Schizosaccharomyces pombe: one gene and its partner. The protein of the gene in region 2 interacts with the protein of the main gene of each other region in a pairwise test. Each region holds a gene or a part of one and is shown on either strand. Other genes may lie near its edges.

What was found. Proteins that work in one complex are often made in the same cells at the same time.
Region 1: the proteins of pep7 (region 2) and vps45 interact in a two-hybrid assay, tested with the Schizosaccharomyces pombe proteins (one large-scale study listed by BioGRID).

What each region holds. Positions count from the first base shown.
Region 1 is NC_003424.3:810,632-816,381, forward strand, and holds vps45 (vacuolar sorting protein Vps45), read right to left. Parts: upstream 3,524-5,750; 5' UTR 3,340-3,523; coding exon 3,185-3,339; exon of another isoform or gene 3,136-3,184; coding exon 2,928-3,135; intron 2,842-2,927; coding exon 1,561-2,841; exon of another isoform or gene 1,509-1,560; coding exon 1,476-1,508; 3' UTR 1,412-1,475; downstream 1-1,411. Other genes in the region: ribosome biogenesis protein Urb2, read left to right, coding at 1-1,411; rbm17 (G-patch type RNA-binding protein), read left to right, coding at 3,820-4,725; alx1 (BRO1 domain-containing protein), read right to left, coding at 4,884-5,750. UniProt on the Schizosaccharomyces pombe protein: Vacuolar protein sorting-associated protein involved in Golgi-to-vacuole protein transport.
Region 2 is NC_003424.3:3,599,588-3,604,727, reverse strand, and holds pep7 (FYVE tethering component Pep7), read right to left. Parts: upstream 3,012-5,140; 5' UTR 2,850-3,011; coding exon 1,239-2,849; 3' UTR 824-1,238; downstream 1-823. Other genes in the region: translocation subcomplex subunit Sec62, read right to left, coding at 1-636; SNARE protein Use1, read left to right, coding at 3,873-4,541. UniProt on the Schizosaccharomyces pombe protein: Required for vacuole segregation and vacuole protein sorting. Possibly part of a complex which tethers the vacuole membrane to microtubules, either directly or via kinesin or dynein-like motor proteins.

The sequences.
Region 1 (5,750 bases), 2.8 Mb from region 2:
AAGCGAAGTTATACTAAAATTACTTCAGCTGATTTTAGCTGATTTTCGAGAGCTACCTTTGGAAACCATTACATTAATTTTCAATGCCTTAGTGGACTCTTTACCTACTTCAAAGCATATTAAAAATTCCAACGATATATTGTCTAGCGTTTTTACGATTAACGACATGTTGATTGATGAAATGACAGCTTATCTTTCTAAGAAAGAAAGTTTATGCAGTGGTACTTTCTCATGCCTTTTAGCCTGTTGCAATTCTGTGTTAAGGACTCAAAACTTAACTAGCGAATCATTGAATAAGTTACACATACTAAAAGTGGGTATTGAGGAGAAAGCGATATCTTTGAAATTAAACGAATTGCCTTTTTTGGAGAATTGGATTTTGTTCCAGTGTCTTTTAAGTTTTGGTGGTGATGACTTTTTAAAAGTTGTGGCTTACATGGTGTACTATCGGCGTACGGTAGGAGAAATGAGTTTCAGAGTATCAGATTTTGAACTTGCGTTATCTAGGCTTTCTACTAATGATGCAGATTATGCTATTTTGAATATTTTAAATTTGCTTACGTCTAATGAATGTGACGAATTTGATTATTCTGTCCTTATGAAAGTTGTGGGTGTTTTTGCAAATTACTCTGACTGTTTCCAGCGTAATAGACACCTGGTGCATATGGTATTGTTGTGCTGCACGCATGTTTTCTACAATCAAACTTTAAAGCCCGCTACTTTAATAGACTCTGCTCTAGATGTTTTTCTGTGTTTCGTTCAAAAGACCTCTAAGTTTATTTCTTTAGACTCTTTCAATACTATACTTACGGCTTTATCTACAATTCTTAATTTAAAAGAACTAGAGTGCGAACCTAAAGATCATGCAAATTTAATCTTAAAAATTATTCAAATTTTAAATGGTCTCCTATTTAATCATCGATCTTATATGTCAGGACGTTTTCATGTATTTTACAGCATTTTGAAAAGCTTGTTATATAGTATGGTTCAACATGACAGTGAAATGAAAAAAATCAAAGGGATCGCTCTCATGAATTTCTATAAACCAAAAAAAGTTCCCATTCATGTTGTTCAGTCTTTTTGTAGACTACTTACAACGTGGATGAATCCGAATCTTATGCATGACTCAAACAAGAAAAATTCTTCGCTTACGGACGCCGAAAGATTATTCGTAAAAGCTACGACCAAGCATTTTGTTTTTCTTTTGACCGACTTTATGTCCGCCCAAACTGTTTATCAAATCGATATACAAGTCAAAGAACTTTTAACAAACTGCTTTTACAATGTTTATGAAAATCTTTCAAATCACGAAAAGCAAATGGCTTTGGTCGCAATGAACGCTCCAAGCAAATCTCTTTATCAAAAATTCGTTAACGATTACTTAATATTTGCTAAGTGGAATGAAGCATAAAAACCTTAAGAAAAATGCTTGATAGCTATAAAAGTTTTGTTTTGGAAAAATTCTGCGTTTTGTTTTATTTTATTCTGGTTGACATATACATAATATCCTAAATGGTTAGTGGTTATATAATTAATAAGAAATTTTTGAAGTTGACTTACATCAATGTAAGCGGTAGAATTAAGAATTGTTGTACCCGCAAGAATTATACGTACACCAGGTTGAGTAGCATTAAATTCCGAAACAAAATGAGCTTCCTCATACGTTGCACCCCCTACTATAACCACAATAATGTCTTGAGGCTTTTCATTAGACGTTTGAGCTCTTGTTTCAGAGTTCAGAAAAGGGTGTGTGGTTTCCTTGAGTCTTCCTTGAATCAGGTCCAACAGAATTGATTTCAAAAAAGGATTATGCTGAATGTACACATTTTCAACACCTCTTAAACCCTTTAAACCACTACGGGCACGCGAAAAAAGGTTGGATGGTGGAAATACATCACCTTGGCGAAATGAATATCCAGCCACATGCAATAAAGTAGGAATGACAGAAACTTTCAGTGGATTGACACCTCCAGCTATGAGCATTTGTTGGAGTGCCGAAACCTTAGCAGGATCGATTCTTTCAAAACGAAGGGAGTATAATGCCGCAAGACGTAACTTCGTATTTTCAGATATATTTGAAAACAAGAGTCGTTGTATATCATTGAAATCGGTGGATTGAGGTTCATTACATACCAGAGATTGTTCAACTTCACCAACTTCTAACAAGTTCTCTCGCTGAACCACCTGCGAAATTTCGCTTACGAGAGAAACATGTTTACTTACGTTTCCAGATAACCTCCTGTATTCAGGATACGCTTCTAAAAATTGTTTCATATCCGCAATGCTTTCAATTTCGCTAGCTTTTTTTGTAGATTTGGTTTGCAAGTGTGAAACATAATCCTTTATTTTAACGCCTAAATCACCAAAGTTGTCAAACCTAGTTTCTTTATAAAAGGGATCCAATGTCGGATTTAAAACAATTTCAGTTGATTTTTCATTATCAGACGTTGAGTTCGAAAAACTAACTCTTCCATTATCAATCCCAAATAATTCATGAACCATGGCTTGATAAGTCCACTGGGTTAAAAGAGGAGTAATAGGGTCGTTTTTACGATCAAGTAAAAGAAGTATTGGTGCAGTGTCAGGCTTTCGAAAATTAAATAATTGAGATTCATGCTGAATTGTATAACTGACTTCTTCAGCAAGCTTAAGGCACAATAAACTATTGTTATCGTATCGAATAACAGGCTTTTTCTTTAAAGATAGTAAAAGAGAAATAATGCCTTGATGAGTTCTATGAAAAGCACCATCTTGCCAATTGTCTGGTGAATCTTCAATGATATGGGGGATGTTGAAGGAAGCAAGATCATTGTTTACCACTAAATAGTCTAAAAAAAATTCCTAAAATACGTGTTAGAGATTGTTAAGCGTTTTGTAAATCTCCATAACATTGACTTATAAGCAATGTGTAAAACGTAGTTGCTTACTTGAATACTTTTAACAGCCTCAAAGTCGTCGGACTCCGCCAACCGTTCGAGAAAACTCTTGGGAATGACATTTGTAAAATATAAGTGATATTCAGCGTATTTAGGATCTCGTAGCTCTTCGCATAAAAGACGAAGGGTAGTTGGAGTAGGACGTAAGAAAGCCACACACTTGAGATGTCTCAACTTTTCACGTTTATTACCGAGTAAGCTAAAGTCAACATTAGCATAAGTATTAGAAAAACAACTATTAACTGTACACTGTTAAATAAATCTGCTGCTCCAGCAAATTTGATTGGGTTATACATGAAGATACAATTTTTGTGGTGTCCTCTTCAAGCAACAGAATTTTCAAATCCGAGACTTCCTGAAATATACGCTTAAAGTAAGATTGGGAAGCTGATACTAAATCCATGAATTTTATGCAATTGACTTAAATTCGTATAAAGGTGATACCAAGTGACCACAAATTTACGAACGTGTTCAAATAGGAAGACTACAGGGAGTCAGGCTAACTCTTGATTATGAAAAATGTTGAAGAATAGCCAACACTGGAATTAGAAGGAATAGTTAAACGGTTCAAAGATAAGTTCAAGTTTAAAAGTGTTGCAATGTAAGCGCTTTGATGGTGTATAGTAATTAGTTTCAGTAACCTCACCACCACTTAGGTAATTTGTTAAACTGTCCACAACTCCACAATTAATCAATGCATATATAAGGTAATTTAAATTTTTGAAGAATAGCCTGCTTCCTTAGTCTATCGATGTCAATATCTAATTTAACTACTCCTTAAAAAGTGCCTTGGAATTAAAGCAGCTGGAACACTGTAACCTACTTTCATAGCCTAGCTTGAAATTCTGTTATTGCTAAACATTGTATTTGAGTCACAAACAAAATGGGCTTTATGCTTTATGAAGGAATTGACTCAAAATCAATTGAAGAAATAACCGAAGAAAGTGAGAAAACTAAAACTGACTTACAAAAAGCTAACACACCTAATAAAACCGAAGCCGTTCATTCGTTAAACAACACATGTTCAGAACAAAACAGTGGTACAAAAGATTACCTTAATAGCTTACAGTTTCTGCCATCAAATTTCCGACCGAAAACCCACAAAAAGAAAAAAAGTGTTTCGAGTTATCTATCTTCTACAATCCAGAAGAATGCAAACGAAAACATTCCTCATGTGCAATGTCGAAATGATTCACAATCTACTGTTACTACCAGAAATCCAACTCCCTTTAAAATTGAAGTGGGGATTTATCCAAGTAAGCCGAATAATTTAAATAAAGAACCTCCTGCATCAACTGTTCATTCAGATAATCTTGGGGATGCAGTTGAACACGAATGGGTGGAGCTATATGACCCTTTATTCCCAACCAGCTATTCAGTTTTTAAAGAATCTGATTATGCAAATTTGTGTGAAACAAATTGGAGTCATTATGTTAATCAAGTTCCCTCATTGTCAATTGAGGCAAAACTTTCCAACATTGTAAATGCCTCAAAATCCGGAATTGGACCTCCTCCTAGCCTATTAAGTCATGCAACTTTAGCACGGCCGTCTGAGTCAATGGTTTTATCAAACAATATTGCTGCGGAAGATCTAGATTTTTTTAAGAAATCACCCCCAGTTCCTGCTATATCTAAAAAGGAAAATGTAGCGTTAAAAATGCTTCAACGGTGTGGATGGAAAGAAGGTCAAGGTCTTGGTCAGCACAATCAAGGCATTATTAATCCACTCCATGTAGAAATCTCGGGTTTCGTTACAGAAACTAAGCACTCTAAAATTAATGATAAATGAGGAGAATCTTAATGTTAATTTTTTTATCAACGTGTAATTGTATATTTTATTAGTTAAATTAACGGGGCTTAATGAAAATGAAATTTCTTAATCAACTTTTAAAGATAAAATTTGAACATGTATGCGGATTTAATACTATATGATCACATATGATAATCCTATTTTTTTGACGATTTAAACTTGATTTTATGGATTTCAGGATTGAAAGCATTGGAGGAAGAATGCTGCAATTTAATTTTGTTAAGCCGATTTTCGTTTTCATACCTGTTTTCATATTGACTATAACGTTCCTCTGCTCGACAAATAATATTGTATAGCTCACGAGCTATTTCTGTTTCATTGCGTACTGTTTGTAATAAAAATTTATACTTTTTCTCAGTTTCTTGTGAGAATGAAAGAATTTTTGAAATTTCAGAACACTCTGCCTGTACTTTGAAAGAATTTAGGTAGCTTTTCAGTTTTTCAACATTCTGGATTATAATTTCTTGCCTTTCCCTTTGTCGTCTAAAATTCCACTTGGCATCAACAGCTTCTCTAAAGCATTTTAAAAGTGAATGAATGTCGGTGTGATTTGAGTACATGGAGATGTTAAAATAATCATTACTCCCTAATTTTTTTAACATATTTCTCTCGTCTTTAAGCAAATCCCACTGTGCCAAGTAAGAGTTTGCTTGCAATAATAATTGATCTGTATTGGGATTTTTTTTCTCAGCCAAGTTTGACAAAATTCTTTCAGACTGGGCAGATAACTCAAAGATGTCCTTGCCAAAGGCACTGATATCTTTTTGAATGGTATCCTTTGCGTTTTGAGAATTTTCAACATTGACTTTTAAAAGTGATACTTCCTCATGTAACTTTATAACATCGCTGTAAAATCCTTTTTCTTTCATGTTTTGGGAAGACTTTACCGAATTTATTATTTCGTCTAACGCTTGACAACAATGTCGATATGTGCCATTAACTTTATCAATTAAACAATCAAGAGAAGATGCTTCGGACCTTAAAAACTCAAGCCCCCCTAAATT
Region 2 (5,140 bases):
GCTATCACAGAAGCCAACGTCGGCAAGAAGATTGGGGAATAGCCAAATGCCAGGGCGCACGATGACAGCAGTAATGCAAAATAAGAAAAAACGTAAAATAACCAAAACAAAGAATAGACCGATTACTCCAAGGCCTCCCATACTTAAATACCAAGCACCCTTGCGCATAAACATTGGCCACAAGGGGAACAAAACGAGTGCCAATACGACAAGAGCGAACAGTACTGCCAAAGCCATAACGCGTTTTGGAAGAGGCTCGTAGAGCCAAACATAATGCATATCGTCTTGAAAATCTTGATTACGATTTATCTGTAATTCTACAAGCTTCTGCTTTCTTTGTTTAGGGGGGAGTTTATCAACGCGAACCAGCATCGAATTCATAATGAGCAATTTGAGAACTTCGATTGCTTCCTCACGGCTTGAAATTTCTGGAAACCCTTTGTATTTCTTAGGCGTATACGCTTCGGATGTTAAAAAGCGAAGAACACGCTTCACACGAAAGTAGTATACACGTTTTCCATTGAGGATCGCTGGCTTTGTTTTCAGCTCAGGGCGAGACTTGAGGAAGTTTGTAAAGCGCATCGAAAACTTGCACTTGTCTTCATCCTTCAAAACTGGTACATTAGAAGAATCCATAGGCAAAATCCTTGTTTGGAAAAATCTAAAATAATGTGGTTCTGGAGTAGATGAAGTCTGTACACGTCTTTAAGGTAACGATATTTAGGTCACGAGGTAAAGCCAAAATCAAAATTCAGTATTATAGATTTGGGAAAATCTATATTATAAATTTTACATTTAGTTTAATCATTGTTATTATCATGCTGTCGAATATTGATTCATTCTTTAAGTAAATTTGTAAAGTTGGATAGTTCAAAAAGTTAATTCAGTCTTAAATTTTTGTGCCTGTGCCCCATATTCATAACTTAATTATACTATAACACTTGAAAAAAATATTTGATTATTAGGGAGAGTAAAGCACTGATTAAGGAATACTAATCTTCAGAAGTTAACTCTAAAAAAGATGCTCTTCCTATTCAACTTAATTGATAACATTCATTGCTGTTCGACGAGGAAAGCAAAGTCTTCAAATTCATTTCATCAATAAATATTTATCTATACAATTATTCACTCATCCATCATATGACTAACCTTCGCAACACATTAACTAGGAAATTTTGATTACATAAAAGTGAAACAGCATCATTAAACAAGTCAAATTTCCTTTATTGAAAAAATCCTCAAATATCAAAAAGATCCAAGTCATGAATCTTTTCAGTGATTGAATGAATTTCCTCATGCAAAGGTGCAAGACTGGAGAGTAAAGTCTCTACCTCAGAAAACTTTCGTTTCGCTTTAGCATCTTCAATCATATTTTCAACGAGGAAAACTTGCTCCTCTAAAACTATTCTTGTTTGCATCAACTCTTCTTGCTTCTTTTCAACTTGCTCTTTCTTCTTTTCTAGCTCACGTTCAGACTCAGAAGTCCAAGCTTGGCCAACCTGCAAATGGTAAGGAATGGCCTGCAAACGCAATATGGTTTCTTGTAAATATCTTTTTGCTTCATTAACAACATTCTGCTTAAATTGTTCTTCAGCATCATTGGATGAGGGATGATTGGCGATTTTTTTCATAGTTCCATCATATTTCACACATAGCTCAAGAAATTTTTTTCGTCTATCTTTTACTATTTTCAGGGTCGCTTCAGTGATTATTTCACCACTTAGTAATTCAGACAAAGAATCCTCGTAAAGTCGATAGTAATTTACCATAGCCTGTCTAAAAACTTGCAAGTGTTCAATATGTCGGATGTAGCCAAGTGATTTCGATCTTTCCGTTTGATAAAGAACGTTACGGAAATAATTTTGATTGCAACTCATACAGATGAGGAGAGGTTGCGGGTGTTGAGGAAGACTAATCTCTAATACACAGAATCTGCAGATCACGCGTCCGCAAAGCCGACAATGCCGGCGTCTTCTAGTTAGAGTAAAAGAATTGTTGCATTCAGGACAAATTTGTACAACGGAATCATCTTGCCAATGAACGATGCTTTGCTCCAGCCTTTTAGCCTTGTTCAAAAGAAGCGCATCAAGCATCGAGACATTTTCCGATGTCCATAGCTCTTCAAGTTTTTTCATACGTTTGCTTAATCTTAAAAACTCTATTCTTCTTTTATCAGCTAAAGGTTTTCGAAAAGTTTCGAATGTTTGAAAACGTGAGCGAATTAAACCATTTGAATCATTATACCCAGGACGTCCTTCATAACATTCTCGACAAACACGACACCAAAATCCATTTTCAGAGTCGTAGGTAGCATGAATACTGAGTTTGATCTGGTACATTGAGTGAAAGTTGCAGAAGATATAACCGCATTTACGACAATGAATATGACCATTGATGAAATTTAAAAGCTTATCACACATCGGGTCATGGCAGACCATGTCAGGAACCTCTGGTTGCCAGTGATTTTTGACAACCAAGGAATCTGTGAGCTTAGTTGCTTCAAGGCCGACAGCACCTGATGAATCCCCATTCTGTTCATATGGTTCCATTCTCCAAAGACGTTGAGCGGCTTTCATTTGCAGAGCTGAAGCACCATTTAAAGTCCTTGTTAGCCATGAATTAATGGAATCTTGTCGCTTGTGGATTTTTTCATTATCATTGAAATGAGTAACATCGAGATGATCATTTAATGCTGACAAATTTGGTAATTCCAGCCCACAAATTGGGCATTCAGTGGCTTTAACGATATTTGAAGAATCACTTTGAGCACTAGTAGAAAGATTAGTCCCGGAATGATTGCTCAAATTGGAAGAAATTCGGACTCCAATACGTCTTTTACCATTTTGCATAGTAATCCCTCTGAACTTGATTTTTAGACGAGAATTTCAGGCAATTGAAGCCTTTTCAGTGGCTATATAATTAAAAGTAGCTAAAGTTTATAAATTATTATTACACAGAGCTTGCTCTTGCAAAGGTGCTGAATTCGCCTGACGGTAAGAATTATCACTGTTAGAAGAGTAGACAACTGGTTAACCTGGTGGAATGCTAAACACAGAATAAACAAACATTAGAAATTTAATAAATTAAGTTGTTTAAAATAAAATTATGAGAGATTCTAAAGAAATCACAAATCCTCTGATCAAATAATTAAAGAGTTAGACTGCAATTTTGTTTAATTTTCAATTCAGGAAAACATCCGGTCTGAATAAATTGAAATAACGACAAATGGAGTTACAAGGTATGTAGTCTTTAGCAGTGCTTATTTAAATAAGAAGAAAGATCGCTTTATCAAAAATCTAACACGAAGGCAGCCTGGTCGTCTTTGCGTACTATAAGTGTTATTTCAAAATTTGCCAATGCAATGGCAAGGAATGCAACTCAAGATCCTTGCGTTTTTAAAGATTCTGTCAAGTTTATTTACAACATATATCCTCCATGACTTGAAATATATAGTAAGGTAAATACGCTAATGTTTATTGACACCTTTAAGTTAAGGCATTACGGTTCATGCAATTCTTTTAACATAAGGATTATTAAGCTTCTCATACTTCATTAGATTGAGATTAAAATAGCATTTTATAGTCAAGGCACTTGGTACAAAAATACGTATTCAAAGAGAAATACGGTTTTAATTAAATGTTAGTACATCCTTATAAATGAATAATATATAAAATACTATAATCGTCTACTCTGAAACCCAAAATACTCATACAAGGTGAAAATTAGTATGTGTATAAGATGACATGCACCTGATAACCTACTCAACTCAAACTACTTATAAAATATCAGGAACCCCAGTTTAAAGCGCTTTACATAACTTTCTTTATAGGAGAGAGATATTCTTATGAAATGCTCACTCCATAGGCTTTAAAATGAGTAAAGATTTGATCAGTAGGTTGGAGCGACAATTCAAGTTGAAACGTGATGAGTTTCAAGACCCATTGGAACTTTTAAAATTTGAAAAGAATCTTGATTATGCAAGGAAATTATTATGGGAAGAAGGAAAATGCCAACTTGACAAAGTTGCTGAACCTCAAGGGCTTTCGAAGAGAATCATGGATTTACAGGGTAGGATTTATGATTTAAATGTTACCATGGAAAAAAAGCTGAAAATTGAAGAGAAAAAGATAAAAAGTAAACAAGAGAAGGAGATCGCGCATGCTCTTCAGAGTATTCAAGAAAGGGAGCTTAGAGAGCGACAACAGATGTCGAATGTCGAAGCTTCCAATGCCCAATTGCTCACAAACCAGCGTTCAATGCAAACTGAGATATCTGAGTCACTTTTGCATTTGGCATCTGTTCTAAAAGAAAACGCTTTATCTTTCACAAATGCTCTAGTAACTGATAATCAAGTGGTAGAGCGTACAGGAAGCTTACTCGACAAGAATGCCCACAGTCTGAGACATGCCAACCACGGTGTTCAAAGCTACTCTAAGTCAAAAAGGCTGTCTTTTTGGCTACAGTTAGGAATGATCATTGCTGTAGTTGTTTCTTTTATCGTGATGATCTTTATCCTACAGTTTACCAAAAATCAAAATTAATTATTTTATTTTCGTAAAGAATTCTCGGACTGCTTCCTTTTGTTGATAAATTTTTTTCCCCTTAAGTTATCGCAGTGGTAACAGTACACCCGTTTCTTTTTAATATACATTTTGATACACAACCATTATTGTTGTTTCAAGTTGTTTTCTTACTCGAACGTATTCATGTTTTTTTTGTATTTGAGATCAATGCGTAGATGATATAAGTAAATTGAATAACCAAAGCATACGCAATTTACCATTGTTTTATTTCATTTAACCTTTTTCCAACAGCTGAGTCAATATTAGCCCATTCCTTTATCAATTGACACTGCCCTCAACTCTTATGTTTTTAGTAAATAAGAAACAACATCATTACATTACAAAACTATTAAACTATCATAAAATACAACATATACCGCATGTTCAAAAATTATTATATTAGAGATCAAACTCTAGTTATTGAAGATTATTTACTTCATTCACTACTGTTCACACGAAAGCTGAACAATATTATTTTAGGCAACACGTAATTAAATCCGTTCGAATACAACAATGCATTTCCATCAAGTGAATACATCTCATTACTTTATGAAAATTATTTTTCTGAACCAAGAAAA